4 linked regions of the Elephas maximus indicus genome follow. The protein of the gene in region 4 purifies or fractionates together with the protein of the main gene of each other region. This does not show direct contact. Links are inferred from orthologs where the notes say so. Each region holds a gene or a part of one and is shown on either strand. Other genes may lie near its edges. The genes, in order: STX8, FUT8, METTL9 and SLC30A4.

Region 1 (7,358 bases), on a different chromosome or scaffold from region 4:
TTATGGAGGTCTTACGGTTTTTTTTCAGAAATATGTCATCAACAAACCAGCTGCCATAGTGATAAAGCTAATTAACTTTAGCAAAGAACCAGTTCATACACAGTATGGCAATAACTTACTACTTCTGTTAAACAATGAGCTTATCACTTGTTTTTAATATGCCATTAAAACAGTAACTAACCAGTTGTCATCAAGTTGATTCCAACTCACGGCAACCACACGTGTGTCAGAGTAGAACTGTGCTGCACAGGGTTTTCAATGGCTAGTTTTTTGGAAGCAGATCGCCAGGCCTTTTTTCCAAGGCACATCTGGGTAGAATCAAATAGCCAACTTTCAGTTTAGTGCTAACCATTTGTACCACTAGGGACTCCACCTAGGGACCCTGCCATTAAAGTAGTAACTACTGTTCCATTGTAAACAATAGAACCGGATTCTCTAGGTGGTACACATGGCTAGTCTGCTTGGCTGCTAACAGAAAGGTTGGAGGCTCCAGTATAAGAGGTTCAGATCCACCCAAAGGTGCCTTGGAAGAAAGGTCTAGCAAACCTACTTCTGAAAAATCTGCCGTTAAAAACGCTGTGGAGCACAGTTCTATAGTGAAACACCTGGAGTCATCATGAGTCGGAACTGGTAAGCATTAGAACACTACACAAGAGTGAGGCCTCAGTGACCTCTAATAGCCAACAGCGCTCGGGTAAAGCTGTAGCCAACAGCACACGGGCAAAGCTGTAGCCAACAGCGCTCGGGTAAAGCTGCAGTCAAATCTGTTTTTACAGGTTTTCCAAAGTCCTTTTCCGCACCCCTCTCTACCTCCTAATCAGCAGCTCGGCAGTCCACTCTGAAAAACTAGTGGACACTAGCAAAGCAGAGGTCCCTTACTGTGTCACTCCCAAAGGTCAAATGAGAAAGCCACTTACTCAAACTAGTGGATAACAGAAAAATATTATAAATGCTTTTCCAACATTAACAATGGAAGAGGCCTGAGTCCCCAGTTACGGCTTCCGTCAATCTAAATAAATGGTGTTGGGCCTGTCCCTTATTTCTGGGCTTTATTTCCTACCTTCTGCGTAAACTGCGGAAAGCCTCGTGGCGTAGTGGTTAAGTGCTACAGCTAACCAAAAGGTTGGCAGTTCGAATACGCTAGGTGCTCCTTGGAAACTCTATGGGGCAGTTCTACTCTGTCCTCTAGGATCACTATGAGTCGGAATCGACTTGACAGAAATGGGTTGGGTGTAAACTGGGAGTCACTTGGTGGTACAAACGGTTAACAGGCTCAGCTACAAACGAAAGGTTGAAGGTTCAAGTCCACCCAGCCACTGAAATCCCTATGGAGCACTACTCCACTGTGATGCACATGAGGTCTTTTCCAACACAAGGCTGTATATTCATCACTACTTTTTTCTAGTTCTTTTATGGTTCTGTTTCCACATTTAGCACTGTAGTACATTTTGGTGCAGTGCATCTGGCTTTTTGTCCCTCCCAAATATCAGCCATTTAAAACCCTTTTGAACAAGCTCTACTCTGACACACACGGGGTCATCATGAATCAGAACCGACTGACAACAACTGGTTTTTAGTATTACGTGTAAACTGAAGGGGTTGGCTTCCAGGAGGTGGAGGCAACTTAGCAATATGTATCAAGGGACTAAAAAATGTTCATACTCTTGAACCCAACAGTTTCACTTTTAGACAGTGAGCTCAAGGAATAAGAGATGGAACAATGGGCCAGCCTTTGCAATAGTTTGTTTTTGTTTTTTAATTAATTAATTACCTACTCTAACAAAGAGGATATTGGTTAAATAAGTCATTCATATGACTATTTTAACACCATAAAAATCTTGTTTTCAGAGAATATGTAATCACATGGAAATATGCTCTGTTTTGGAATATATATATTACACAGATTAAAGTAAGGAACTCATTTGAAAAATCAATAGTGGCTATTTCCAAATGGTAGAGTTAAAGATGCTATATATTCTCTACAAATTTTCACTATTTTCTAAATTTTCTACCCCGAGTGTACAGAACTGTTAAAATTAGTTTTACACCAATGATGAGACTGACACAAATGATGTAGATATTAGGCAGCTGCTTTCACCTTGATCTTGGAATCCATTCTCCTAATATCCAGACCGCCTGCAACCTAGACAATCATAACCTATATTTAAAATACCAACATAAAACATATACGCCAACAAGAACTTTATGATGCTACAATACATTTTTAATTATTAAACAAAAAGTTCAAGTTCAATATGCTACAAGGATGAATTCCTCGGAATTAGAGCTTGTCTTTGACCATTCAGTCCTTGAGACCGAACGGTTCGTCGTTATTAATCGCCCTTATCAGCTGATGTTTTACTGCAGAAGACGTTGCTGAAACGAGTCTTCGTGATAATTACACACAACAGAGTAAAATACCTTATACAAAAAAGTGCGTAATTTTCCTCCCAGGTTCCTACAAATTTTCTCAACGACGAGATTTAGGTCCTACCCCCAACTGGATGGGGACGATGGATTCTGAGCCCTGGTTTCTCCATCTGTGAAATAAGGAGGTTCACTAGCTGGACGGACGTCCCCCCACAAGATTACTTTTACTTCACTTTGACAGGACTCGGGGAAAGCCTACACCAGCCGGCCCCCCAGTAGGACGGGCGGGAAACCCCGCAGCGAAAGGCACCCCGGAAGGGCCAGGGAAACATTCGGAGATCCGACCCGCGCCCTCCGGTCCCCAGGGGTCCCCCGGTCTCCTCCGCGGCCACCCGCCGCCGCAAAGACCCGGGGTGGCGGGACGCGGCTGAGCCCTCCACAGAGGACGGGCCCTTGCGGCCCTTCCCCTCACCCCGAGGGCCCTCCAGCCCTCAGGCCGGGCGGCCGCCAGCTCCCCGGACGCCCGGCCTCCCGCCAGGCTGCCTCGCGGACGGCCGCCCCCGCCCAGGGCTCACCAGGGGTCGGGCGCCATGGCGCGGTCTCCGCCAGAGGCTGGGGCACTTCCTGTTTGCGGCCGCTGACTACGGCGGCCCACGCGGCTCACACCCCGCGGCTCCGCCGTGCGCCGGGGCGCCTGGAGTTTGCCAAGGGGGGAACCGCAACGCCAGGGCCCGAAAACTACGCTTAAAAAAAAAAAAAAAAGAAAGCGCTCCCCTGGGCAACGGTACGTTGCAGCAATCTGTGCCTATTAAGAAACGCAAACTGTTATGTGCAATTAAAATGAAATTGCAGCTGAGCAAAATCTAAGCATTTATTTTCGCAGGAACGTAGGAGCGCCTTTAGACCTTTCTCTGCTGCTGTGTGCCCTGGAATCGGTTCTGAATCATAGCGACCCTATAGGACGGAGGACAACTGCCCCATAGGGTTTCAAAGGCTGTAATCTATAAGAAAGCAGAGTTTTTTCTCCCGAAGAGCTACTGGTGGATTTGAACCACCGACCTTTCAATTAGTGACCTAGCGCTTAACCATGTTATTTAAAATTTTATCCTGCTTTAAACAAGGGGTCGAACGAACTATCAATTATGTTTTATTTTACTGGACAGAGTAGAACTGCCCCATAGACATTCCAAGGAGCGGCTGGTGGATTCGAACTGCCTAACTTTTGGTTAGTAGCAGAGCTCTTGAACACTGTGCCACCAGGGCTCCCTTCCCATCAGAGGCAATCCTCTAAATTGGATTATAAAGAAAAAAAATCTCGCTAGGTGCTTGATTATATAGTTACCAAGAATGTCACAGACTCTATATGGGAAGGAAGGGAGTGTCACTTTTGTGCCTTTAAATAATAAAAATTATTTAAATAATTTCCAGAGAAAGAGAAGGGGAAAATTAGTGCCCCTTTTGCAAGAAGGAAAATCAACTGGACCAGCCCTGGCCGGGTTTCAGGAAAGTAGATCTGGTGCGCATGCGCGCTGCCATTACCATAACGACGAGAAGACGCTGCACCGGCAAGAAGACTAAGAAGAAAAGTGAGCGGTCCGGGGATGGATACCCAAACTTCGCCCGAGGCCGAGGTGGCCGAGCTGGAGCTTGAGGCGGTGATCGGCTTCAATGGTGAGGCCTCGAGTATCTCTGGGCTGCGTAGTTTAGGAACCCCGGGAACGTGTAGCGCAAACAGGGACAGTGAGACTCTGGGTAGCACCTGGGGCCGGGATGGGGTGGACGTCACCGGCAAAAGCCCTGGCCCGAGGTCCAGCCTGGCCTCTCCCGTCCGAAGACCTTGGAGAGTCACTTCCTCCCTCTGAGCTGTACACCCTCTACTACCTAAACCAAAACCAAACCAAGCCCACTGCCGTGGAGTCCTTTCCAACTCGTAGCGACCCTGTAGGACAAGAGTAGGTTTCCAAGCTGTAAATCTTTATGGAAACAGACTGCCACATCGTTCTCCTGTAGGACAAGAGTAGGCTTCCAAGCTGTAAATCTTTATGGAAACAGACTGCCACATCGTTCTCCCGCAGAGCGGCTGGTGGGTTCGAACCGCCCACCTTTTGCTTAGCAGCTGAGTTCTTTAACCACTGCACCACGAGGGCTCCTCCTCTAGCACCTAAAAGGGACTAAATGTCTCTCGGAGCTGGAAGGATGAGTAAGGGGGTGGGAATTGGCTCTGGCCGAAGAGCTAATGATGAGAGGTTCCTCTTTTAACCCTTTCCCACTAGGACACCCCTCCCTGGTTCTAAGCCCACGCAGCCCGCAGAGCACCGACCTTCCTAACCACCGGATGCTGCCTTCTGTGTCGGCCCCTTCTAAATCTCAGCTGATGTACTATTGAGAAAACGCTGGCGAAAGGATGTGTGTTTGAGCAACCTATTTAGAGGACGATCTTGGTCCTCTAAGCCAAGAGAAGGATTTTAGGTCACCATTTGGAGCCCTGGTGGTGAAGTGGTTAAGAGCTCAGGCTGCTAACCAAAAGGTCAGCAGTTCGAATCCACCAGCCGCTCCTTGGAAACTCTACAGGGCAATTTCTACCCTGTCCTATAGGGTCTCTATGAATTGGAATAGACTCGGCGGCAATGGTTTTGTTGTTGTTGTTGTTGTTTGGTAAGAAACAGATGGAATCCATGGCAAGCTGGAGTGATGTTTTGATCAGAGGAAGCCTTGTCACTTTGTTAAAATCTTAGTTTTGACTGTTGCTATTGTTGTTGTTAGGTGCCGTCGAGTTGGTTCCAACCCATAGCGACCCTATGCATAACACAACGAAACACTGCCCGGTCTTGGGCCATCCTTACAATCATTGTTATGCTTGAGCTCATTGTTGCAGCCACTGTGTCAATCCACCTCATTGAAGGTCTTCCTCTTTTCCACTGACCCTGTACCCTGCCAAGCATGATGTCCTTTTCCAGGGACTGATCCCTCCTGACAACACGTCCAAAGTATGTAAGAGGCAGTCTCGCCATCCTTGCCTCGAAGGAGCATTCTGGCTGCACTTCTTCCAAGATAGATTTGTTTGTTCTTTTGGCAGTCCATGGTATATTCAATATTCTTCTTCAACACCACAATTCAAAGGCGTCGGTTCTTCTTCTGTCTTCCTTAGTCATTATCCAGTTTTCACATGCATATGATGCGATTGGAAATACCATGGCTTGGGTCAGGCGCACCTTAGTCTGCAAGGTGACATCTTTGCTCTTCAACACTTTAAAGGGGTCCTTTGCAGCAGATTTACCCAATGCAATGTGTCTTTTGATTTCTTGACTGCTGCTTCCATGGCTGTTGATTGTGCATCCAAGTAAAATGAAATCCTTGGCAACTTCAATCTTTTCTCCGTTTATCATGATGTTGCTCATTGGTCCAGTTGTGAGGATTTTTGTTTTCTTTATGTTGAGGTGCAATCCATACTGAAGGCTGTGGTCTTTGATCTACATTAGTAAGTGCTTCAAGTCCTCTTCACTTTCAGCAAGCAAGGTTGTGTCATCTGCATAACGCAGGTTGTTAATGAGTCTTCCTTCAATCCTGATGCCCCGTTCTTCTTCATGTAGTCCAGCTTCTCGGATTATTTGCTCAGCATACAGATTGAATAGGTATGGTGAAAGAACAACCCTGACACACGCCTCTCCTGACTTTAAACCAATAGGTATCCCCTTGTTCTGTCCAAACAACTGCCTCTTGATCTACGTACAGGTTCCTCATGAGCACAATTAAGTGTTCTGGAATTCCCGTTCTTCAGAACATTATCCATAATTTGTTATGATCCACACAGTCGAATGCCTTTGCATAGTCAAAAAAACACAGGTAAACATCCTTCTGGTATTCTTTGCTTTCAGCCAGGATCCATCTGACATCAGCAATGATATCTCTGGTTCTACATCCTCTTCTGAAACCGGCCTGAATTTCTGGCACTTCCCTGTCGATATACTGCTGCAGCCGTTTTTGAATGATCTTCAGCAGAATTTTGCTTGCATGTGATATTGTTCTACAATTTCCACATTCGGTTGGATCATTCTTGGGAATAGGCATAAATATGAATCTTTTCCAGTCAGTTTTGACTATGTCTGCCTATTTGTTTTGAACAAGGAACCCTGGTGGTGCAGTGGTTAAGCACTCAACTGATAACGAAAGGTGGGTTCAAACCCACCAGCCCCACTTTGTGGGAAGAAAGATAAACCAAAAAAAAAAACTGAATCCATTGCCGTGGAGGCATTAATAATGACCCTATAGGACAGCGTAGAACTTCCCCATAGGGTTTCCCAAGGCTGTACATCTTTGCAGAAGCCAACTGCCACGTCTCTCTTCCATGCATCAGCTTAGTGGGTTCAATCCACGGACCTTTTGGTTGGCAGCCAAGCACTTAACCACTGGACCACCAGGGCTTCTCTCTCTAAAGATCACAGCCTTGGAAACCCTGTAAGTTCCCACTCAGAATTTGGTTGACGCTTAAAGGGAGCTGCGAAGAAGCAGAGCATTGTGGGAGAGAGCAGGGAGTCAAACAGTGGAGCAGCGGGGCTGTGAGCTTTTGTAAGATGATGGTTGCTTGGTCTTGCGGTCTCATTGGCCCTGCCCACTTTTCAAGTGTGATTTTCACACTTCCTGTGGATTCTGGGAGCTATCTGTATTCCTTCCATAAAATTGTTTTTCTGCTAATGTTAGCGGAAGTTGACCCTTCTTGATAGGAATCAAACAAAAAAAACAACCACCAAACTCATTGCCCTCAGTGTATTCTGACTTATAGCCACCCCCTTGGATTTCCAAGGCTGTAAATCTCTAGGGAAGCTGACTGCCACATCTTTCTCCTGTGGAGCCTCTGGTGATTTCAAAACCCCGAATTTGGGTTGCTGTCAGTACTTCGGAAAGCCTAGGGATGTAGTGGTTAAGTGCTAGGGCTGTTAACCAAGAGGTCAGCAGTTCAAATCCACCAGGCGCTTCCACTCTGTCCTATA
Region 2 (7,543 bases), about 67 Mb from region 4:
TCCACAGAGCCACTGGGTGGGTTCCAACTGCCAACCTTCAGGTTAGCAGCTAATCACAAACAACTTGTGCCACCCAGCCTCCTGTGGTAGTTTTTTTCAGGTTAAAAAATGGCTTCCAAATACCACTGAGATATTCAACAGATATTTATCAAACACCCACTAGGTACAATACACTATGCCTAGGTCCTATAAATAAAAATAAAACTAAGAATATTTCTACACATTTCTCCCCCTTCAAATTGTCTGGCCATTTTACATGTGTGTGCTATGGGAATTCTATTGTCCCTCTGAAGTTTGTAACTAAAGATTCCTTCTGCATCTATTAAAACACAAATCTTCTAAGTTCTAAATGTACTCTACTATGACAAAATCAGAGTTCCATAGTACTGAATCTTTATACTATCACTTTGGGGACTATATATCAATTCTCTCTGTAAAAATGCACCTGTGTTTAATTATAGAATTACAGAATCTAAGAGCTAGAGGGAACTGTATGATCATATAGACCAATCCCTCCATTTTATAGATGAAGAAAGTAAAGCTAAGAAAAGGATAAATGATGGGCCCATGGTCATACTCTAGCTTATTTTTCTGACACAAAAGTGGTTTCATATACTTTTCCATCCCCCATTTAAAAATCAGAGCTGCAACTTTCACTTCTGGCCATAATAGGGACCTGAATTACACTTTTATTTTAAACAACCAAGAACTAGACAAAATATAAAAACAACAGCTTGCATATATTGGACAACATGCAGCACATAACAGTGATCTCTGAGAGACAAGAAACAAAGTGAACCTGTATTTGTCCCAGCTTACTGCCTGGACAGTTTCCATCTACAGCACAGGGAAGGAGAACCTCAACAGAAGCTGGAGATTTTCCTAAACTGGAGGTACTAAGTTGAGGATTCAGGAAGACTAAGGCAACTAGAATCTTCTGTAGGGTAGATTACCAGAAAGAAGAAAGCTGCACACACAGAGACAGAGAGAGAGATCTAGAGATCTCTAGAAGTATCCCCTCAAGTCTTCAACTGAGTACCAATCAGCACATGTACGTGAGGAAACTATCTGAGGCGGGGAAAAGAACCACTGGGAAGGAACAATGACCAAAGCTCACACAGGGCTGGAAATAGTTCACATTTCCAACAGCCTGAATGCAAACATCTTGTAATACATTGGACACCAGGTTGAGTACTGTGCTCAGAAAGGTATTGTCTCATTAGGGGGGCAAAATGGCCCTGGACTAGAAGTCCTGGCTATCAAAGCTTAAACACACATCTCAAAAGAATCGAACTTCCCACGTAACTTAACTGCATCCCAGAACATTACTCAAAAATGTCTAAAGACACTAAAAAAAAAATCCACCCCAGCAATACAAAATTCACAATATTTGTCATCCAATAAACAAATTACCAGGCACGTAAAGAAGCTGGAAAACATGACTCATAATGAGGAGAAAAATCAATCAACAGAAACAGACCCAGAAATGACACAGGTGATAAAATTAGTAGACAAAGACATTAAAACAACTATTTTAACTATGTTCTAAATGCTCAAGAAAGTAGTAGGCGTGAGCATTTTAAGGAGAGAAAAGGACAATATGAAAAAAATACACAGTCAAGTTTCTTAAGATGAGAAATGCAGTATTTGAAATAAAAAATCAGACCTGCAATGGGAATTGTAATTTTTGCCATTATTTCTGACTATCAACACCATAAATGTGGAAATAATGTTTTTCATCAGGTCAAAAATAGTCCTTTTTGTATTAAAATCTCAAAGCTATGTATCAGGGTACATCAAAATCATCAATGTAGAATAGTAGTTGCATAGCACAAATATGTTAGCTGCAGTTGCTATTGTTATTTATAAATAATTGGAATAGCACACAGCCTTTGCTATATGCAAAACATGCTACGCCAAGCATAACTTCTATTCAGAAGAGTTTAAATTCCAAAGACGAATGAAAAATTGGGTTCTGTGACTTGTAAAGAGAAAGTATTTTTTTATGCACCACTCAGGACATGGAATAAAGCAGAGAGTTTTAGACCCTTGTTGGGATCAGTGGTGACAGCATTCCCAACAATTCATTGGTGAGCTGCAATTTAAAGGATCTAACCTTTTTTTTTTTAACCTAAAAAAGTCTAGGTAATGAGAAGGGGAAAATCAAGCATAAAGCAGAGGTAAGACCAAAAAAGAAACTCTTACGAAAAGTAGAAATGTAAGAAATGTGAGGACTATGGTTTACAAGTACACATGAATCTCCCTGACAAAGCTTAAGAAGGAGATAGCATGACAATGCAGTTAAATTCAACCAACAGTTATTGAGTGCCTGTTACCTGCAAGACACAGCACTGAATAAAACAGTATCCCTTTCCTCCAGAAGCACAAAATATGATGCAAGAGACAGATGCAGATGCATAAATAACTTTATCATAAGTCAGACTGATAGCCGCAATAATGAAGACATAGCCACAGCTAAAGGAGTATAGAGAAGTGAAATAACAACTGAATCTTGGGTTAGGAAAATGGGAGAGGACTTTACAGAAAAGGTGACGTTTGAACTATGTCCTAAAAGATAAAGGATTTTACTATATACAACAGGGTGATATATAAAAGGGTTAATATATGATTATTCTTCATCTAATCACTGTCTCCCTGACACCCCCATCCATTCTCTGCCTCTCTGCTCTGCTTTGTAATCCATAGATTGCCTTACCTGGCCTCCTTCGGTGGTTGGTTGGCTGGCTTCTTCTGATTGAATTTGAGGGCAAGAGGAGAGAGAGGTTGGGGTATTTCTTCACTATTCCTGCTTCAGCACTGTGGTTTCTGGCAGTGGCTGCAACCCTCCCTGCCTGCAGCTCTTTCTGATGGACCCCTTTTCCATGGCTCCAGTTCTCACTGAGCTAAGGAAACATATTCTATCCCCTTTTCCCTTTGGGTCTAGGAGAGGTAAGAGCAACCTACATTTCTAGTCTCTGGGTGCCTTGACTACTTTTGTGATTTTCCCTTACTCTGACCATATATGTCTGTCCCTTCATTTGAACCATCTGAGTTGGTTCTTTTTCTTTCTGTTTCCTTCCTGCTGATAATAGGAGTTAAGACCGTTCTAACCTAGACAGAGGGAGCAGTATAAACAAAGACAAGAAGGAATGAAAATACATGACTGGGGAACCATGAGTCATTCTGTTAAGACTTCATCATGGGAAATTTCATAAAGATGAAATCTTCTATAGAGGAGAATGATTTTAGTGAATTTGGGCCCACTTATGAGGGCCTCACCAAGGAATTTGGACTTTATTCTTGGACAATAGAAATCCAGTGGTAGTTATTGAGTGGGTACAATCAGATCCGTGTTCCAGAAAAATCTCTCTGCTAGCATGTGACGAATGGAATGAAGAAGGAAGAGTCTGAAGGCAAGGAGCTAGGTAAAAAATCAATGCAAGAAAGTCATGAAATGGGACATTAGATGGTGGCAGAGAGAATGGATTTGAAAACGGGTCAGCAGTAAAATTTATAGTCTATGGCAAATGAGCAAAGTGAAGGGCAAAGAAGAAATTTTTAAGAATGACTTCCAGATCTCCAATTTGGGGGAATGGGAGAATTGTGGCCCTATAAACACAGAGGAAGAAGTTCTTAGAATTGGAAAAATGATGAGTGTGATATCGACCACATGGAAATTGAGGTGCTGCATAACATTTAGGCTGAGGTGCTCAGCAAAGAATGGAAATTTGGGTCTCCATATCAGGAATGAAGTCAGAACTGAAGATAAAAGTAAATACTCTAGAGTTGTGGTTCTCAGTCCTGGCTGCATTTAAGAATCACCTGAGAAGCATTTAAAAAGCTGATGCTAGGGCCCAAACCCCAGATCAACTAAATCCAATTTCTAGGTGGGGCCCCGGTATTTATTTCTAAAGAGCTCCACCAGTAATACTTATATGCATCCAGATTGAGAAGCACCAATCCAGAGTAAAAACAAAAGCAGATACGAGTAGACAGTTGAGGTTCACCTGCATTTAAGGTACAGACAGGGCAGATGATAGAGCACAGATGATGAAGAGGCAGACAAAGATAAAGGCAGTAAGAAGAATTTTATCAAGAAAGTGAACAAGCACATGACATGTCAAGGATGTGCAGAAGAGAAATGGAAAAGGCCAGTAGATTTGGTAACCAGCAGATAGTTACTGACCTCTGGGAGGACAGCTTTTGTAACTGCAGAAGCCAGATTGCAATAGGCTGAGGAGTAGCTTTCAGGTAAGGAATTGGAGGCAGGGAGTGTAGACTCCTCTTTCAAGAGGTTGGGTGCAATAGGTAGGAGAAACAGCCAGTGGCTTAAGAAGAAAAAAGGCTGAGAGAAAGTTTTCTTGGTTTTTAGAGTATATTAGTTGACTGAGGGTAAGGAAGCTTCAGTGAGGGGGAGAATGAAGATACACAGGGATTACTGGAAGAACTGGACCACAGAGGTGCTCAGAGTATGGGAGACCAAGTGGAGGAGTCAGCCAGGAAAGGAATTCCAAAGAGATAAGCTTTAAATTGAGGACAGTTGACGGAGTTCAAGTCATTATTTTCATAATGAGATGGAAGGCATGGGTGACTGCTGAGAGCAAAGAAGATAGCAGGGAAATGGAAAAGAAAAGGCAGAGAATAGTTACTGAGATATTTCCATGTGCCAGGCACCATGCTGAAGCCCCACCAAGTTATCTCAGTCAGTAATTAAATGTGCTTTTGAAGGACAGATAGGATAAGAAGCAAAAATCAAGCCTGTACTGTCCAATTTCAGCCATCTAGTCACCTTGCTCTCTTGTGCCATTACTAATTAATGGCCCTTTAAAGCTTGGCCTGCAATCTGCTTTAAGTTAAATGCTCATTTCTAGCTGAATAGGAAAAGATTTCAGTTGTGATAATATTTCCTCAGTTTAGTTTAAAGGAAAGAACTGTAGAAGATCATTTAAGAAAGAGAAAAAGCCTATTATTGAGAATGCCCCATTAGTGAGGACAAAGAGAGATGGGGCTTCAAAAAGATAGTGCTTAATGGTCCAAGTTAATGGCAATCGATAAATATTTAGGAAGTAGATTTAACCTGTATTTTTTTAAGTTCTTCTTTTAAATGTGAAAGATAAAACTTTCGATTACAAATTCATCAAGGGCTAGAATTGTGCCACCTCTTTCCACAATGCCTGGGCAATTGTGTGGGGTCAGTGGATAGCAACTGAAGATTGAGACAGCCTATATTACAAGACCCTCCCATTATTATCCATGCCATGTGGTATAGGCCAGCAGGCCAGTAGGCTAGATAGCTTCCAATTTTACAGATGGCAAACAGCCTCTAAATTGGAAATTTGTTGTGACATTAGCTGTCCTTTTCTCTGAGAAACACTTTCCAAAATTGGGGTCAGTAAATTCAGAAGTAGCTGCCAAGGGTTTCCTTCACTGACATCCTAGTAAACCAAGTTGAGGAGTTAGGGTGGCTACAAGGAAAGACAGGATATCTGGCCAACCTACCTGAATGAGCTGAGGGGGATTATGGAGAGATGATCTTTCAAGCTTTAGACCGCCAGAAATTCAGTGTGGACTGGAGATGGGGATAAGGTTGCAGAAGGCTGGGAAAGCCGGGATGAATTTAGGGTAGCAGTGCTGCTTGGCTCCCTGCCGCTGGGCTACCGAACTACTGTATTGTTTCCAAAGCCACTGTTGGACATCTTGCCTTGGGTTACCGAACACTACCTCTAAAAGACTTTTTCTAGTTTCCATTGAGTTAATTCTGACCCGTGGTGACCCCATGTGTGCCAAAGTGGAACTGTGCTCCATAGAGTGCTCTGTAATAGCTAATTTTTTGGAAGTAGATTGCTAGACCTTTCTTCCAAGGTGCCTCTGGGCAGACTCGAAGCTCCGGCCTTTCCATTAGCAGCCAAGTGCGTTAACCATTTGTACTACCTAACAAGTCCTCTAAAAGACTATCTCATTTTATCCTTATCGCTTTTATTATTGATGTCCAGCCCACTTACAAAAAATAGATTTGAGACCATCGGGCCTCCATATCTTGAATCTAGAACAGCATGTAGCTGCTAATTTCAATGGAGACCGGATCCTAGTTTACATCACTCACAATAAATAGTTTGTTCCATCTCAGGTCCAAGCACAGTGCCTAGCACATGAGGTAGTTGGCATTCACTAGGTATTTTTTGAATGTTTGAATTTCACTTATGTGATTCTGCTTCCTAGTGTTTTCTACATATTATTTTTATTTGTTTAAAAACTTCCTTAAAAAATTTTTTAAGAACTACTCTATTTCTTAAAATAATTTTTTACATGAAATACTCAAAGAAAAATTTTGATGCTATAAAGAAGACGCAGTACCTAGGCACCCAGAGGTTTTCCTAATCCTCCAGTGGACCTGTTTGGCCTATATTCCTCGAAGTGTTCTAACATAGTTACTCTAAGGGGGTATTAATCTGAAACTCCAGGGCTTTCTGTCCTTTGCTTTCTAAATAAACAGCTTTCAAGTGAAATTATTATGGCTAGAAGACCTTCAGGGGTAGTATCACCTGATATTTATCTTATGCGTTTCTTTAGTGGAGCCTCCATTTCTTGTTCTTCTCCATTACATCCTAGGCAGTTAGGTGCCAGGCAAACACTTCCATTTCATCTCCATTCTAAAAGGTCAACGTGATGACAAAATCAGAAACAGAACTCAAACCTTTTGTTTTCTCTCAAATTTCATCACACTTAACCTTGATCCAATAGTCCCCTGTTCCTGGTAACTGGGATTATAGAAGACTGGCTTGAAACAAACATCCTCTCTCACCCTCTTCCTTAGCAGCTTGCACTCTGAATTCATGATCATACCAGCTCTTAAACTGTAATAACAGGAATAGTAAACTTAATTTTACATAGGATCTTTCATACAGATCCATCACAAAATGCTTTGCATCTAAAGAGTTGTAGAATTACAGAGCGGCACCACCAAATTAAATAATAAGTAACAGCTGATACTAATAATTAGCTTAATTTATGGTCTAGCGGAACTGTCACAACTGAAGCGGCACTCCCTCCACCCCGTCTCCTTGTCTTTTCTTCCTCCTCCCTCCTCCCTTGGCAACAGCAAGCAAGCAAAGTGCTAAGATCGCCATATTAGTCATTGTAAGTCAAGACACTTCTTCCTTTACTCTCTAGCTTTCTGACCTTATTATATCAAGTATTTCCAACCTTACACTTTATGTACAAATTATCAAATGGGAATCTAATATGCTCTGTAAACTTTCACCTAATGCACATAAATAAATAAAGAATTTCTAACCTTTTTGGAGTTACTACACCCCATCATTGTTTAATTTTACAACTGCTTTTCCTTTCTAAAGTTGCATGATGTCATGCACTTGGTGGGAGGTGGCACTAGGAAAGATTCAAATCTCTTGAGAATTTGCAACATCCTCAGAAAGGCTCTTGTAGTTAGATGCCTTCGAGTCGATTTTCAAGTCCTAATGACCCCATGTGACAGAGTAGAACTGCCCCACATGGTTTTCTAGGCTGTAATATTCACAGGAGC
Region 3 (7,717 bases), on a different chromosome or scaffold from region 4:
ACCAATATTGAACATTTTGATCAGACTGCATAGAAGAATCCTGATCAAAAGGGGGAAAATGTAAAACGAAGTTTCAAATTCCCATGGACTCTAGACTTTCTAGAGCCAGAGGGTGGATGAGCCCCTGAACCTATTGCCCTGAGATAATCTTTAAACCTTAAACCAAAAATATTCCCTGAAGTCATCTTAAAACTGAACAACAGTTTGGCTTAACTAGTAAAAAAGGTCTGCCTTGAGCATTATGCTCTTTTAAGAACTATCCACAGGGGAACAAACTGACAACAGCAACTCCAAAGATTAGACAGAAACATTAGGGGGCATTAAGTTTATGTTAATGAGGCAGAAACAACTCAGAAAAGGAGGTGAGAATGGTTGCATAATTCATAGAATGTAATCAACATCACTAAATTATACATGTAGAAACTGCTGAACTAGTGTTTTGCTGTGTATATTCTCAACAACAAAATAAAATTTAGGAAAAAAAAGTAATAAATCCAAATCAATCAACGTGGCTTTACAATTTAAGATTGCCTACGAACTTCATGTACACACCTAATGATATCATAGGAGTTGATCGCCTAACAAATTGTGATAGCTGGGGGTTTACCAAAAATCTTATAGACATTTAGGATATCCTTTAAAACAGAAAAAGCACTACTACAAATACTTGCTTAATCAAAACTGTATGTTACTTTTCCGAATGAGCTGCTTTACCTCCTTCCTAGAATTCTTTATTTTCATTAAAACATATGAAATCACTGAGGGCTGTCGGGACCATCGTCTCGGGGAATGTCTAGCTCAATTGGCATAACATAGTTTATAAAGAAAATGTTCTACATCCTACTTTGGTGAGTAGTGCCTGGAGTCTTAAAAGCCTATGAGCAGCCATCTAAGATACTCCAATGATCTCACCCATTCGGGAGCAACAGAGAGTGAAGAAAACTAAAGACACAAGGGAAAGATTAGTCCCAAGGATTTATGGACCACAACTACCACAGCCTCCACTAGACTGAGTCCAGTACGACTAGATCGTGCCCAACTACCACCATCGACTGCTCTGACAGATCACAATAGAGGGTCCCAGGCAGAGCTGGAGAGAAATGTAGAACAAAATTCCAACTCACAAAAAAAGACCTGAGTTACTGGCCTGACAGAGACTGGAGAAACCCTGAGACTATGGACCCCAGACACCGTTTCAGCTCAGTAATGAAATCACCCCTGAGGTTCACCCTTCAGCCAAAGATTAGACAAGCCCATAAAACAAAACGAGACTACAGGGGCACGCCAGCCCAGGGGCAAGGACTAGAGGGCAGGAGAGGACAGGAAAGCTGCTAATAGGGTATCCAATCAAGGTCGAGAAGGAAGAGTGTTGACATGTCATGCAGTTAGTAATCAATGTCATAAAACAATATGGGTACTGTTTAACGAGAAGCTAGTTTGTTCTGTAAACCTTCATCTAAAGCATAATAAATAAATAAATAAATAATAAACAAATGTTATCTTAAAAAAAAAAAAAAAACACGTAAAATCAACCTGGCGTAAACTCTCTGAATACCTCGAATAAGAAAAGTAACAAAGAAAAATAAGAAATCCATGAAAATGATCCCTGCACAAGGTTATATGGGGAGTTCTCAGAATAGGTAAAATGTACTATAAATGCAAGCTATTGTGAGTCAACTTTCTGGCCGCGACCAAAAGCCTCTTTTAAATGAATGTAATGCTAACCGCAAACTTACAGTATGATCAAACACAAAATATTTCACTCTTAATTCGACTGCTGACCTGCACATCCTTCTTTGAAATGGCACTAAACTGGAGCTAATAATAAGATGGTAACCGATCCTATCGCATCGCTCACGACCCACAACTATAACTCTTAAAAAGAATTCAGTCCTGCCAGGTGTTGTTTTAAAAGCCCTTCCTGTAACAGCTGACATCATTTTCCTCTTTATGCATCCTTCTGGTCAGATGCCTAAATCGAAGTTTAAAGGAGATCTCTCTTGGGTAGGAGGGGAAGGCTCAGTAGGATGGGCGTGAGGACCTTTCACACACGTAAGCGCTTAGGGAAAATGTCACCCGAATAAGCCCGGAGAGTTAAATGGCTCACGACGCACGTTTCAATTTCTCACAACCCTTTGTATGTTCAGAGATTCAACGAGACAAAAAGAGGGGCCGGCTTTTCGTTTTGTGCCCCTTAGGCTATGAGGGCTGTCCTCATCCCAGGCCTCGCTGTCAGGCGGGTGACCCTCGCCATCCGCCGGCCCCGAAGTTCTCCGCGTCCTGCCGCCGGGAGCGGGCGCCGAGGGGCCTCTGCCAGCCCCGCCGGGGGCCCGGGAACAATGCAGGGCTCCGGGCGCCCACGCTCGGGCCCGCGGAGGGGGAAGGGGAAGCCGGCCTCCGCCCGCGCCGGGGAACAAAAGGCGCCGCAGGGCCGGGCCGGGCGCCCGGGGGTCGCGGGCCGGGGCCCGGGGGGAAGTCGCGGGGAAAAGTTTCCGGGCGCCGGCGGCGGGGCGAGGGCCCGCGGCGCTGTTGCCGCGCTGCGCCGCACAATGGCCGGGCCGAGCGCGGGAAGGCCGGGCCGCCGCTCCCCCGCCGGATGCCGACCCCGGCCGGGCCCGGCTCCCGTACCTGGTGGTTCTCCTTCCTGCCCGCGGCCGCCGCCGGCCCGCCTGGGCCGCTCGTCATGTTCACGTACAGGGAGCGGGGGAGCGGACTCCGCAGCGTCCACATCCTCCGCGCCAGCCACTCGGACGCCAGGCTCAGGCACAGCCAGCCCGCGAACAGTCTCATCGGGGGCCGCGGCCGCTCACTCCGATCACCGCCGGCGCCGGGGCGAGGAGGAGGAGGCGCCGCCGCCTCCGGCCACCACCGCCACCGCCCAGGCTCGAGCCATCGCGCTCAACTTGCCCATCCAGCCCCTCCAGGGCAGAGGCAGGGGGGCGGGGAGGAGCGGCCAGCGCACGGCCTTCCCACCGCCTCCTTCCTTTCCGCCGCGGAACGCCGCCGCCCACGGCGCCGGTTTCCACCCGGAGCACGTACGAGCTGCTGGGGCGCGCTCTCGCCGGGGCGCGCTCCCTTGGTCCAATCAGCAGGCCGGCTGGGAGGTGGCACAAAGGGAGCGCGCATTCGCCTGGCGCGCGCCCCCGCCGGCCGTCTCTAGCGCGGCCCCACGTAATGGCGGAGACCATGTAAATTTTTTAGGGGAGGGGAGCTCACTTCCGAAAGCGGTAACTGAAGCCTCCCCTCCTTCCAAGGTAGTGCTTGCAAGACCTCAGGTCTGTCTTCGCCTTAGCCTTTGCCAGTGGGCTCGTCATTCCACCCCCAGGAAGGACTTGCACTTTGTGGAGCAGATTGCCTGGGGTGGGTCTCATCGCGTTCGTGCATCCAAAGATTCAGACCCAAGTCCTTCCCATGGACCAACGATGCCAGTTCTTAGCTGTTACGAGCACGACTACGAGCTGACAAGCCAGAACCCTATCCCAAGGGCCTCCACCTCGCTTCGCAGGAGCTGCAAAGCAGACAGGAATCTAGGGAAAGAGAATATCATCGCTACCACCACCACCTCGGTTCCCCCAAGTCTGGCCAGTTGCTGGCTGCATGTTTCTAAGAGGCATCGAGGAAAGCTCTGCCTTTGTTGAAAGCTACTGCAGCTGGGGCACCCGCAGGTAATGTTTTGATGTATTGATGACTCTGCCCAAGGATGAAGACCCCAAATTAGTGTCTCTAGGTGCTCTTTCTTTGAACTCACAGACCAAAGTTGGAACCAACACTCTTAGGCGAAGTAAGCTCTGGGAGCAGTATTTACCCGGATGTTTCTTTGATCATTTATAGCCCGAGGAGACCTAGCAACCTCTCAAAACTGAAGGGTTACACTGTGTCTAACGTTCTTTCTGCTGCTACTCAAGCTGCAACTAAGGAGTAACATGTTTCACGCGTCCTTTTAACTTTAATAACGCCTTCTTGGGTTGGTTTGTTTACAAAATGATTTTAATTTAACTGAACCAGAAATAATGTAAATACATTTTATTTTAGTTCAAAACAAAAGGAAGAAACCCCTCAGTTCATGCCATATTGCACTTCAGAGCTTTTCATTTCTGCAACGGTGGTGAGGTCATCCACTGATGAGAAACAAAATAGTACCTTATCCACAAATATTTCTATTAGCTTCTAAGAATCTCAGCTTGGCACATTTCACTAACATGGATATCTTGTTACCTAATGTGACATAGCCTCTAACAAAAAAAGGGTGGGGCAGAGAGGTACTTTGTCCTCTCCTTCCAGTTCTGTATATTCCCTGACTAAAAAAAAAAATACTCCCTGACTGCTTCCTGCCAAAACCCCAAAGAGCCTGCACCTTACTAAATCTGCTTCAAACCTCTAGTGGTCTTGGGCTCAAATCATCAAGAAGGAATTATAGTAACAAGTCCAAATAACTCAGTTTGTTTACTATGTCACCTCTGCCTCTTGTCTCTTGGTATCAGTGCCAAAAGAAAGCCTTCACCTTTTCAAAGTGGGAGGGGTGGGGGGGTAGAAATAGTAGTACTGCATAAAATGGCATATTTCATTTCTGAAGACAAAGGAGAAAAAAAAGGTATGCCCCCCCCCAACCATAGAGTAAGCCTGCTGCACTGCTACTCAGAGACTGCAAAATGTATCAGATGAACAAGAAGCAACTAGATGCTGCTGCAGCCTGAAGGGCTTGAGGTCAGTTGACTCCCAGAAGCCCAGCATCTCAAACGAACAGATTTTTGCCTTATACCTGAGCAGCCAACCTAGAACAATAGACCACCCACACATCTAAAACACTCTATAGTAATCACAAAATATTCAATGCATGTTATTTACACTTAACAAGCACAGGAAGAAACCAAAGCACAGTGTGATCGAATGATTTGCCTAAAGGTAGCAGAGCAAATTCAATAGCAGACCTTATCATAGAACTTGGTATCCCAGCTCTTGGTCCTCCGATCCATCTGAGAAGCCTCGCTGTCTCTCTCTCTTTTCAGAGAGCCTCCTGAATTACAAATGAGGAGGAAGGAAAACAGCAAGAGTAAATATACTAAGCAGAAGTTCAGATGGCCCTCAGAGACTGCCCCTTTCCTTCATCTACTAGAATGTCACCACTGTATATTAAAACCTCAGTTATCCATAATGGAGAGGGGAAGACGCACAAAGAACACAAAAATCCAGAGATGAACCAATATCCTTTCTAACTTGACTTCGAAATTCAGTCAGTGATATTCAAAAGACACATAGCTGACACCTTCTGTGCCAACCTCTTCTCACTGCCCTCCTGACCAGGAGCTCAGGTGTCTAGCTTGGTATCGAGTTGGTGGAAACCTTGGGTCACAGCCTTGTGCACAGGCCTGGAATTTTGACTGGATTACATTCCTACCTAGAATTCTAGAGAGGGGCTTTTTTTTTTTTTTTCCTCTTAAGCTACAAGTCATGGCATTTTCATGTTCTCTTTTCAACTACAAAGTGTATAATCTTAAGACAACCCAAAGGGTGAGAGACTTGGATCTGTACAGTGTAGCAAACATGCTGGTCACTGTTGGTCTTGCCATCTCCCTGAGGGGATATTATCCTGAAAGAACTCATATCACATGTTCATGGGCTTAGATGTGTGTGTGTGTGTGTGTGTGCGTGTGTGTGTGGTGTTAATTGATCCAAACCAATTTATTACCAATTCTGTTCTGATACCAGCTAACACAGCCACCGTCCAAAGTTGAAGGGGCAAGGCTTCTGTGTCAGTGGGCCAGGAGAACTAAGCCACGTGGGGCGAAAGGGGTGGGGTCACCACTCAAGTGTACCAGGAGAATGGGGCCACCCCGAGCTAAGGGAGAGGCTGCCCTCCCAGTGGGTCTGAAAGGCAGGGCTGATGCACAGGCCCCATGGGCCTCCAACCAGAATCCATAGAGTGGAGCCTGTGTCCAGATATGTGATTACAGTTTTATTATAACAAAAAGGATAGAAATGAAGAGACACAGGGGGAGGTCTGGGAGGGTTCCCAACGTGGAACTTCGATGTCCCAAAAAGGAACACACTACCCTCCCCCAGGAAGCCCCAGATTTTTTTTTAATGCTTCTTAATAACATTTTGTAAAGTGTCAGAGAAAAGTACAAGTTTTCCCCAATATATTCAATAGCTGTGCTTCTTAAGCAATAAGCACCTCTAAAAAATAAAATTAGTGAAGTGTAGGGAGTTTTTAAGGAGCCCTGGTGGCACAATGGTTAAGCTTTCAGCTAAGTGAAAGGTTGGTGGTTCAAACCCACCCAGCTGCTCTGTGAGAGAGAGACCTGGCAATCTGCTTCCACAAAGATCACACCCCAGAAAGCCCTGTTGGGCAGTTCTGCTCTGTCACATGGGGTTGCTATGAGTTGGAATGGACGCAACAGCATGGAACAACAGTGGGATTTTTATTTTAATTTAGCTAAAGTAATTTCAATCATATGCAAGTCATATCACTGTGGCTCTGATAAATTCCAAGTCAAGATGAAATTATAAACAGTTAAAAAGTAATAGCATGAAGTAGGCAGAATTGAACCAGGAGCCACTCCATGGAAGCCCTATGAGGCCTTTCTACTCTGTCCTACAGGGTTGCTAAGAGTCGACTCTAAGGCAACAGGTTTTTTTGTTTTGTTTTTAATATAGACCCCATTGCCGTCGAGTCGATTCCAACTCATAGCAACCATATAGGACAGAATAGAACTGCCCCACAGAGTTTCCAAGGAGCACCTGGTGGATTCAAACTGCCAACCTTTTGGTTAGCAACCATAGCACTTAACCACTACACCACCAGGGTTTCCTTTTAATATAGAAAACCAAACCCAGTGCCGTCTGGTCGATTCCTACTCATAGTGACCCTATAGGGCAGAGTAGAACTGCCCCATAGAGTTTCCAAGGGCGCATTCAAACTGCCAACCCTTGTGGTTAGCAGCCATAGCAATTAACCATTATGCCACCAGGGTTTCCTCTTAACATAGAGTAAGTACAAATAACACAGCTTACTCCCTTGGAGAGCTCCCAGTGCTACTCATTAGCATAGTGGTTTATCCTGCGCTTTTAGGACCCCTGGTGGTATACTGGTTAAGTGCTTCAGCTGCTTACCAAAAGGTTGGCAGTTCAAATCCACCAGGCACTCCTTAGAAACTCTGTGGGGCAGCTCTACCCTGTCCTATAGGGTCACTGTGAGTCCGAATCGACTCAACAGCAACAGGTTGAAACAGACCACCAGTTTGTTTTTGTTTGTTTTTATTGTGCTTTAGATGAAGCTTTACAGAGCAAATTAGTTTCTCATTAAATAAGTAATATACATATTGTTTCGTGACTTTGGTTGCCAACCCCACAACATGTCAACACTCTCCCCTTCTTGACCTTGGGTTCCCCATTACCAGCTTTCCTGTGCTCTCCTGCATTCTTGTCCTTGCTTCTGGGCTGGTGTGCCCCTTTAATCTCATTTTGTTTTATGGGCCTCTCTAATCTTTCAGACCACCTGGTTTTGAAGCCTGGCACAACACTTCTTAGTTATGCAACTTGAGGCAAATTACTTAATCTCTTCAGTTCTTAGTTTCCCCATCTATAAAATGGTGATATTAATAATGGTTACCGATCTCTTGAGGTTGTTGTGAGGATTAAATTATACATTCTTCATATAAAGGGTTTGATCTCTTGAGATTGTTGTGAGGATTAAATTATACATTCTTCATATAAAGGG
Region 4 (7,070 bases):
CCACAGCTTCCTAGGTTTCGAAGAGTCAGACCTTGCCAACTCAGTTCTGGAGTCCACTGGGGCCACTGAGGGGGCGGGGCTGCCATGCCTAAGGGGCAGAAGAATTGGGCCTGCAGTGGCTGAGGGGATGGGGTCACCACTCAGATGAGCTAGAAGAATGGGCCACCTAAGCCTAGGAAGCAGGGTTGTCATTCCAGTGGGCCTGGAAGGCGGAGCTGAAGCCCAGGGCTGTACAGCCTCCCCCCAGAATCCAGAGGGCATGGCCAACACCCAGAGTCTGGAAGGCAGGGCTATTGCCTAGATGGTCTCAAGAGAAAAGAGGATTATTTTCAAGCCTGGTGAGCTAAAATAAATTGTTTTGCTGGGTTTTGGCTTGCTTGGTGCCTGTTATCCCTTTCTTCCCTCCAATTTCTCCCACTTGTAATGGAAATGTCTACCTTGAGCCTGTTCCTCCATTGTACTTTGGAAACAGGTAACGTGTAATCTTCATTTCATGGGTTCACAGGTGAAGAAGAATTTTGTCCCAAGGTGCACTATGCCTAAAGTCTCACCCATATCAGCCTTAGATGACTCAGGAGATTTTGGACTTGGAGTTTATTTGAGACTTCTGGGATGATGTGATGGGGTAAATGTGTTTTGCAAGTGGGAAGGACATGAATTTTGCGGGGGGGGGGGCAAAGGATGGAACATTATGGATTGAATTGTGTCGCCCACAAATATGTGTTGCAATTCCTAACCTCTGTGTGTGTGGTTAGAAACCCTGGTGGCGTAGTGGTTAAATGCTACGGTTGCTAACCAAAGGGTTGGCAGTCTGAATCCGCCAGGCACTCCTTGGAAACTCTATGGGGCAGTTCTACTCTGTCCTATAGGGTCGCTATGAGTTGGAATCGACTCATCAGTGCTGGGATGTGTGTGGTTGGAGCACTGGTAGCCCAGTGGTTAAGAGCTTGGCTGCTAAGCAATAGGTCAGCAGTTCAAATTCACCAGCTGCTCCTTGGAAACCCTATGGGGCAGTTCTACTCTGTCCTATAGGTTCACTATGAGTCGGAATTGACTTGAAGGCAGTGGGTTTGGTTTTTGGTTTTATGCATGTGGTTATAATGCCATTTGGGAATGAGTTGTCTTTCTTATGTGAATGAGGCAGGGTCTGTGTAGGGTGAGTCTTCAATCTCTTTTGAGATATATAAGAGATTAAACAAGCAAGCGACGGAAACAGATGGGGGAAGAGAGATGCCAAGCCACATGAAGACTGCCCAGGTGCAGAAACTCAAAGAGACAAGAATCTTCCTCCAGAGCTAATGGAGAAAGAAAGCCTTCCCCGAGAGCCGGCACCCTGAATTCAGACTCCCAGCCTCATAAACTGTGGGCAAATAAATTTCTGTTTTTTAAAGGCACCCTCTTGTAGTATTTGTTATAGTGGCACTAGGAAGCTAAGACACGATAAAGAACGAAGTTCCTGAAAAGAGTTTAAGCCTGAAATCATAGGCAATAAAAGCTCGACAACGGCTCTCTAGGCAAGGTAAACAAAGTGAGTTGGCAACACAACTCACCTACGAGTTCTCCAATCATGAAAAGCAAGTAAAGAACGGCAGCGATGGTCAATCTGGTTTTCACCCTTCGCTGCTTCAGTAGCTCTCTCTGCTTGCTGCAGTTGTCACACGGGTCCACCTTCAGACTCAGCTGACTGTTGGTCAGAGGTACGTCCTGGTCCAATAAGGAATCGTCGTCGGCCTGGAGCGCAGGGTGCGCCCCGTTAGCAGGCCTTTCTGGGACGTCAGAACCATCGTCGCCCACCACAACTCGCAGCTTGTTAAACCGAGAAAGCCCCTCGTCCACCACCTCATCCGAGAAGTCGAAGGCGCTGGTGTCATTGAGGAAGAGCGGCGCCTCATCCCTCCTCAGCAGGGACCTGAGGCGCTTCCACGCGCCGGCTCCCGCCATGGCAGCGGCTGCGCGGCGCCGAACGGCCAGGTGCAGGCGGCCGGCCGCCGGCTACTTCGCGGGAGCGCCAGCGCCCGACGGCGGAGCCGCGCGTCCCTCCCCACCCTGCGGAAGACGAAACACGTTATCAGTTACCGGCGCCCCCACAGCCCCTCAAGTTCCGACGCCGCGGACGGCGGGGAGCAGCGCCGGCCCCGAGGCGCGGGCTCTGCGGCTCCGCGGTCGCCGGCCTCTGCAGGCGCGGGCCGCGGCCCCGCGAGGGGGCGGTGCGTCTACCTGGGGCGCTGCCTCGGGGCCGCGGCTCATCTCCCCGCCCCCGGCCGGCTCGGCGGGCCCGGCTCGCACCGCTCGGCCCGGGGCGGCGGGGGCGCAGGGTCGCCCCCGCGCCTGCCACGGCCGCCCGGCGCGGCTCGCGGCCGGCTCCGCGGGTCTGACAGGTTCGGGGCCGGCGCCCGCAGCCGCCGCTTCTCCGCGCCCTGCGCGTGCGCCCGAGCGGCCGCGGGCGAGGCGCGGGGGAGGAGTCGGCGCGCGGACACGCAGGCCGCCGCGCAGGGCTGAGGCGCCGGGGGCGGGGCGCGCGGGCGCGCGGGCGGGCGGGGCGCGGCTCCCCGCAGCCCCGGCCCTCGCCCCCCGCCCGCCGGGCCGCGGCCGGCTCTGTCCCCGGCGCTAACCCGGGGCTGCGGCGTCTTACCCGGCCGAGCGGAGCCCCGGTCCCCGGCGCGGCCTTCCCACCTCCTCAGGGGGAGAGGCAGAGCGGCGGAGCCGGGGTCCTCAGGCCGCGGGGCGGCTTCCAGCCGGGCGCCCGGGCTGGGCGGTGCTAGGGTCTTCCCGCCACCAGAGGAGGGTCTTGGCAGTCTGGGGTCGGGATCTTGCTTGCGCGTCCTCCGCGAGAAGCAAATTCGGCGTCTCCTTGCCCAGTGGGAAGCCGAGCCGCTTTTCTCTCCTCGAACCGCTTCTTCGCTCTGCCTGCCGAGCTGGCGGCTCCGCTGCAGTCAGGTCACCGCGGAGAGGGCAAGGTTTACGTCTGTCAGCAGCGCTGCGTCCTGCTTAGGTCTCCTGTTCTTCAGCCAGCACGCCCGTCCCGTGTGCCCACCACCACGTTCGCGCCCGCCACAGTACTGGTTTCTGATCTGAATTTTAGTGGCAAAGCGGAATGACGATAAGGTTCCCCCCCTCCCCGCCCCCGTGAAAGTTTCGGAGATTTCTGATCCAGAGTCCATGGACAGGCTTCAGGGGGTTCGGGAGGCTTTAAACTTCAGTGCAGACTTTCGTGGGTATGTTTATTTTCTGAGCTAAGTCCCTTAGCTTTCATCATACTCTAAAATGAGGATCAGACTCAAGATTTCGAACAAATACTGTCGGGAGGACTCATAGGTCAAGCTCCTACCTCCTACCTGGAGGCAATGATAGTGCGAACTCCTGTTTATCCAGTGTCTATGAGTGTTGTATTTTCACAACAGCCTATGTACAGTACCGCACGTCAAGTAAAAAACTGAGACGAAAAGTCACATAAACATCATTTTCCTCTGAAGATTCAGATGGCACTTTAGAATCTTTCATGCCTCGGGGCCACTGTCGAGCACCAGCTGCTTTTGGACTCCACGGCAGTCCCTGGGTTTTGAATGCCCACCCTGCTTCTACAGAGCTGCAGCCGTGGGAATCATGTTAGGAAACCTGGATCAGAGACCCCATGGTTCCTATGACCCAGAAGGGAAGAGTGTTGCCCACAATATTCAACTACTAGGGCACTCTGGTCATCATCAGCTGAAGGGAGAGGGTTTACTGGAGGTTGCTTTCCTAGCCTTAAATGTCTTAATCCACCCATTTTGAGAGTACGTTATTTGTTGTAATTGTTTTTATTGTCACTTTGTTAAACAGCCTGAAATTCTACTAACGAGAGATACAAGTGAAAAACCCAAGTATTTCAGGAGTGTGATCACTCTCTCTTTTGTATAAATTATTTAAGTACGATGCCATTTAAGGAAAGGGGGTAGGCGTTTTCAAGAAAAGTGGAAGGAGAGCATGGATTGTTGTGGGTCTTTGCAATATACAGCAAGCTTTATTGGGGAGGGCTGCAGTTCTGCATGCCAGTTTCCTTTTATTACTTTGTATCACTGGTGGTGGAAGGACAGAGAACACCCTACATAGTGATTTTAAGTTACCTTCACAAGTTCTGTGATACTCTTTTCCTTCAAGAGATGGAGCTTAATTCCCCTTCCATCGAAAGTGGGTTGCACTTAATAAATAGAATATGGCCTCTAATGAATAGAATGTGGCAGAAGCGATGCTGTGTGATTTACAAAACCAGGTTATAAAAGGCATTGCAGCTTCCTCCTTGTTCTCACTCTTGGTTACTTGCACTGGGGGAAGCCAACTACCATGTTGTAAGCAGGCTCAAGCAGCCGCATGGAAAGGCCCATGTGTTGAGGAACTGAGGCCTCCTGCCAACAGCCAGGTAAGTGAGTCACATTAGAAATGGGTCCCCCAGCCCCACTCAAGCCTTCAGATGACTGCAGCCCAGACCAGCGTTGACTGCAACCTCAGGAGCCAGAACCACCGGGCTAAACCACTCCCAGATGATCCACAGAGACTGTATGGGATAATAAATGTTTAATATTTTAAGGTGGTAAGTTTTAGGGTAATTTGTTACATAGGAGTGAAGAATTAATACTCTCTGTATTAAACCTCTGTACCCAGAAAGACACTTTTCTTGTTTTTTTATCACATAGTATTTTGTTCCTAGACCCTCGATTGACCTAGTGGCATGGTTTCTGTCATTGGGCTTTAAAATGGACTAAACAGACTTTTGTGAGTAGGCTGGGTCTGTAACCACCATTTGTAACTTTATTTCTATGTATTCAGAATTTCTAACAATAGACAAATGAATGTTTGAAACATGACCCATTAGTTATCTGGGTACTGCCTACAATTCTGCCAGCCAGTGCTCAGGATTCCAGTCTTTTCTAAAAGACTTCTTACTGCTTTCCAGTCTGAAGGACATTTCTGATGGGTGAAGGCAAAAAGTTCCTAACCATATAGCCCACCTTTCAACCAGACAACCCATGATATGTAGGTTGCTTAGTTTAATAGCAGAAGCCTGTCAGTCCAATTATAAGACTCATACCTTGGGGCAGTTGTCTAGGATAGACGCACAATGTCCTGTGTCAAAACCTGCTTTCTGGCCCAGGTGACTCTGGGAACAAATGACAGTACTAAAAATAATACCACAGATAACGCTGACTTGAGACTTGTTAATGTGCCAACCACTATGCAGAGGATCTGCCTTACATGAGTTCATTTCATCCTCACAACCTCACTGTGAAGAAGGTAGTGATTCAAAGCATGGGCCTTGGAGTCAGCTTCTGTTTGGATCCTGGATTCACCATTGACTAGCCATATGAGCTCTGGCAAATCGTTTAACGTCTCTGGGATTCAGTTTCCTTATCTATAAAGTGAGGATGCTAATGGCACTCAATGGCAGCTATTAGTATTTTTTAGGTAGATGAAGACATGTAGGCTCAAGGAAGTGAAACAACTGGGCCAGGGTCATGCAGCTAGCAAGTGGTAGAGCAGGAACTCAGTTCAAGCTCTTAACTGTTACTGTCCTGTGCCTCCTCAGTTACTTTCTGCTCACAAATGAAACGATCTGCAGAAAAACAACTAGGTTCCTGAGGCGGGCCACGAGAGATCCCTGTATCATACATCAGAGATTTTCTAGCACCTTGAGATCTCGGTATTATCCTATGAAATCCCCTTGGAAATGATGGGGCGTGGGGAGGGGGGGAGTGGAAACTTTCTTTTAATCAGAAAAATGGGAAAAGTTGCCACTTAGTTGACAGGTTCAAATGCTACATGTTCCCCATCCTGAGAACTCTTTTGTCCATTGGAGTATGTGGCTGTAAGAGGTTTCCATAGGATGTTTTTGAAATGTGTCCCCTTATCCTTTTCAGAAGGGGATGAGAACAGCTACGGGATAAATGTGAACAAGGGTAAGTGATATGTTACTCAACTATGGTGAGTGTAGTAGTTTCTTCAAAACTCCCAAGGGTTACAGTGTTAAGAGGCTGCAGCTTCAATTACACCCTCCTCCAGGGGAAGAGAAGGACCCAAAACAGATAAAAGACAGACTTGCTCAAGGACAGGAGGAGATAAAGGAGAAGATCCCTGGCCCAGGGCCCCATCTACCTTGCCAAGCAAACTGACCTCTGAACAGAAACCTACACTCAATCAAGTTTCTTGTTTTTATAACTTTGTTTTTGTTTTCCTTTAGTTTTTAAATGTTCCTATTGGATTTTTCCAGCCATGTCTGGCTAAAATTAGAGGCAGTAGGAGACCCCAGTAGGATGGGGGGTGTAGGGGGCAAGCATACCAGCCCTGGAGTCTGGGAGGCAGCTGGGCCGGGGTAGCTTGAAGATCAGTGAAAGGCCAACTTCAGAAATGAAGATCCCTTTCTACCTGAGCACTTCTTCACATACAAGGCCACCGCGTGAGAAGCTGGAGAACCTGGATCACCTTCTCGTTTTGTCACCCTTTTGCTGTGACCCCTTGAGTCAGCATCATGATACTGCTGGGCCTAGTCTTTGATCTGTGAAGTGGAAAAGAACACTTGTCCTACCTGCTTCATAGGGAAGCATTCCCTTACCTACTTTGCTAAACCCATCAATTCCGACTTAACAATGACCCTACAGGACAGAGTAGAATAGCCCCACAGGGTTCCAAGGAGAGGCTGGTGGTTAGCAGCTGTAGCTAGCTCTTAACCACCATGCTACCAGGGTTCCCCTGCTTTACTAGAGGAAGTCATTAAATGCCATGGCATCTGTACCGTCCTACAAAGCAAGGGTGTGGGCAAATGCTGGCCATCAGGCATCATCCACTTAATCTGTCCCCCTTAGGATTGTTAAGCCCCAGCCCTTGGCTTATTAAGGAGGCATCCTGACTCATTTAGAACTTTAGGTCACTCCAACCATATTACTGTTACTATTACAGCACTTCATTGAGGGAGCCCTGGTGGCACAACAGTTAAGCACTTGGCTGCTAACTGAAACATTGGTGGTTTGAACCCACCCAGTGTCTCCACGGGAGAAAGACCTGGAGGTCTGCTCCCATAAAGATTACAGCCTAGAAAACCC

Evidence for each region.
Region 1: the proteins of SLC30A4 (region 4) and STX8 purify together in Homo sapiens (co-immunoprecipitation; 3 studies listed by BioGRID and IntAct, with this or other methods). This does not show direct contact. The link is inferred for Elephas maximus indicus from reciprocal best matches to the Homo sapiens genes SLC30A4 and STX8.
Region 2: the proteins of SLC30A4 (region 4) and FUT8 purify together in Homo sapiens (co-immunoprecipitation; 3 studies listed by BioGRID and IntAct, with this or other methods). This does not show direct contact. The link is inferred for Elephas maximus indicus from reciprocal best matches to the Homo sapiens genes SLC30A4 and FUT8.
Region 3: the proteins of SLC30A4 (region 4) and METTL9 purify together in Homo sapiens (co-immunoprecipitation; 3 studies listed by BioGRID and IntAct, with this or other methods). This does not show direct contact. The link is inferred for Elephas maximus indicus from reciprocal best matches to the Homo sapiens genes SLC30A4 and METTL9.

Annotation. Positions count from the first base shown.
Region 1 is NC_064837.1:11,079,366-11,086,723, reverse strand, and holds the start of STX8 (syntaxin-8), read right to left. Parts: upstream 3,008-7,358; 5' UTR 2,963-3,007; coding exon 2,946-2,962; intron 1-2,945. Other genes in the region: CFAP52 (cilia- and flagella-associated protein 52), read left to right, coding at 3,972-4,041. UniProt on the Homo sapiens protein: Vesicle trafficking protein that functions in the early secretory pathway, possibly by mediating retrograde transport from cis-Golgi membranes to the ER.
Region 2 is NC_064828.1:77,675,943-77,683,485, reverse strand, and holds the start of FUT8 (alpha-(1,6)-fucosyltransferase), read right to left. Parts: upstream 3,021-7,543; 5' UTR 2,717-3,020; intron 1-2,716. UniProt on the Homo sapiens protein: Catalyzes the addition of fucose in alpha 1-6 linkage to the first GlcNAc residue, next to the peptide chains in N-glycans.
Region 3 is NC_064830.1:82,535,260-82,542,976, reverse strand, and holds the start of METTL9 (protein-L-histidine N-pros-methyltransferase), read right to left. Parts: upstream 3,013-7,717; 5' UTR 2,791-3,012; coding exon 2,629-2,790; intron 1-2,628. UniProt on the Homo sapiens protein: Protein-histidine N-methyltransferase that specifically catalyzes 1-methylhistidine (pros-methylhistidine) methylation of target proteins.
Region 4 is NC_064828.1:10,785,842-10,792,911, reverse strand, and holds the start of SLC30A4 (probable proton-coupled zinc antiporter SLC30A4), read right to left. Parts: upstream 3,015-7,070; 5' UTR 2,633-3,014; intron 2,322-2,632; exon of another isoform or gene 2,218-2,321; intron 2,194-2,217; exon of another isoform or gene 2,047-2,193; 5' UTR 1,942-2,046; coding exon 1,551-1,941; intron 1-1,550. UniProt on the Homo sapiens protein: Probable proton-coupled zinc ion antiporter mediating zinc import from cytoplasm potentially into the endocytic compartment. Controls zinc deposition in milk.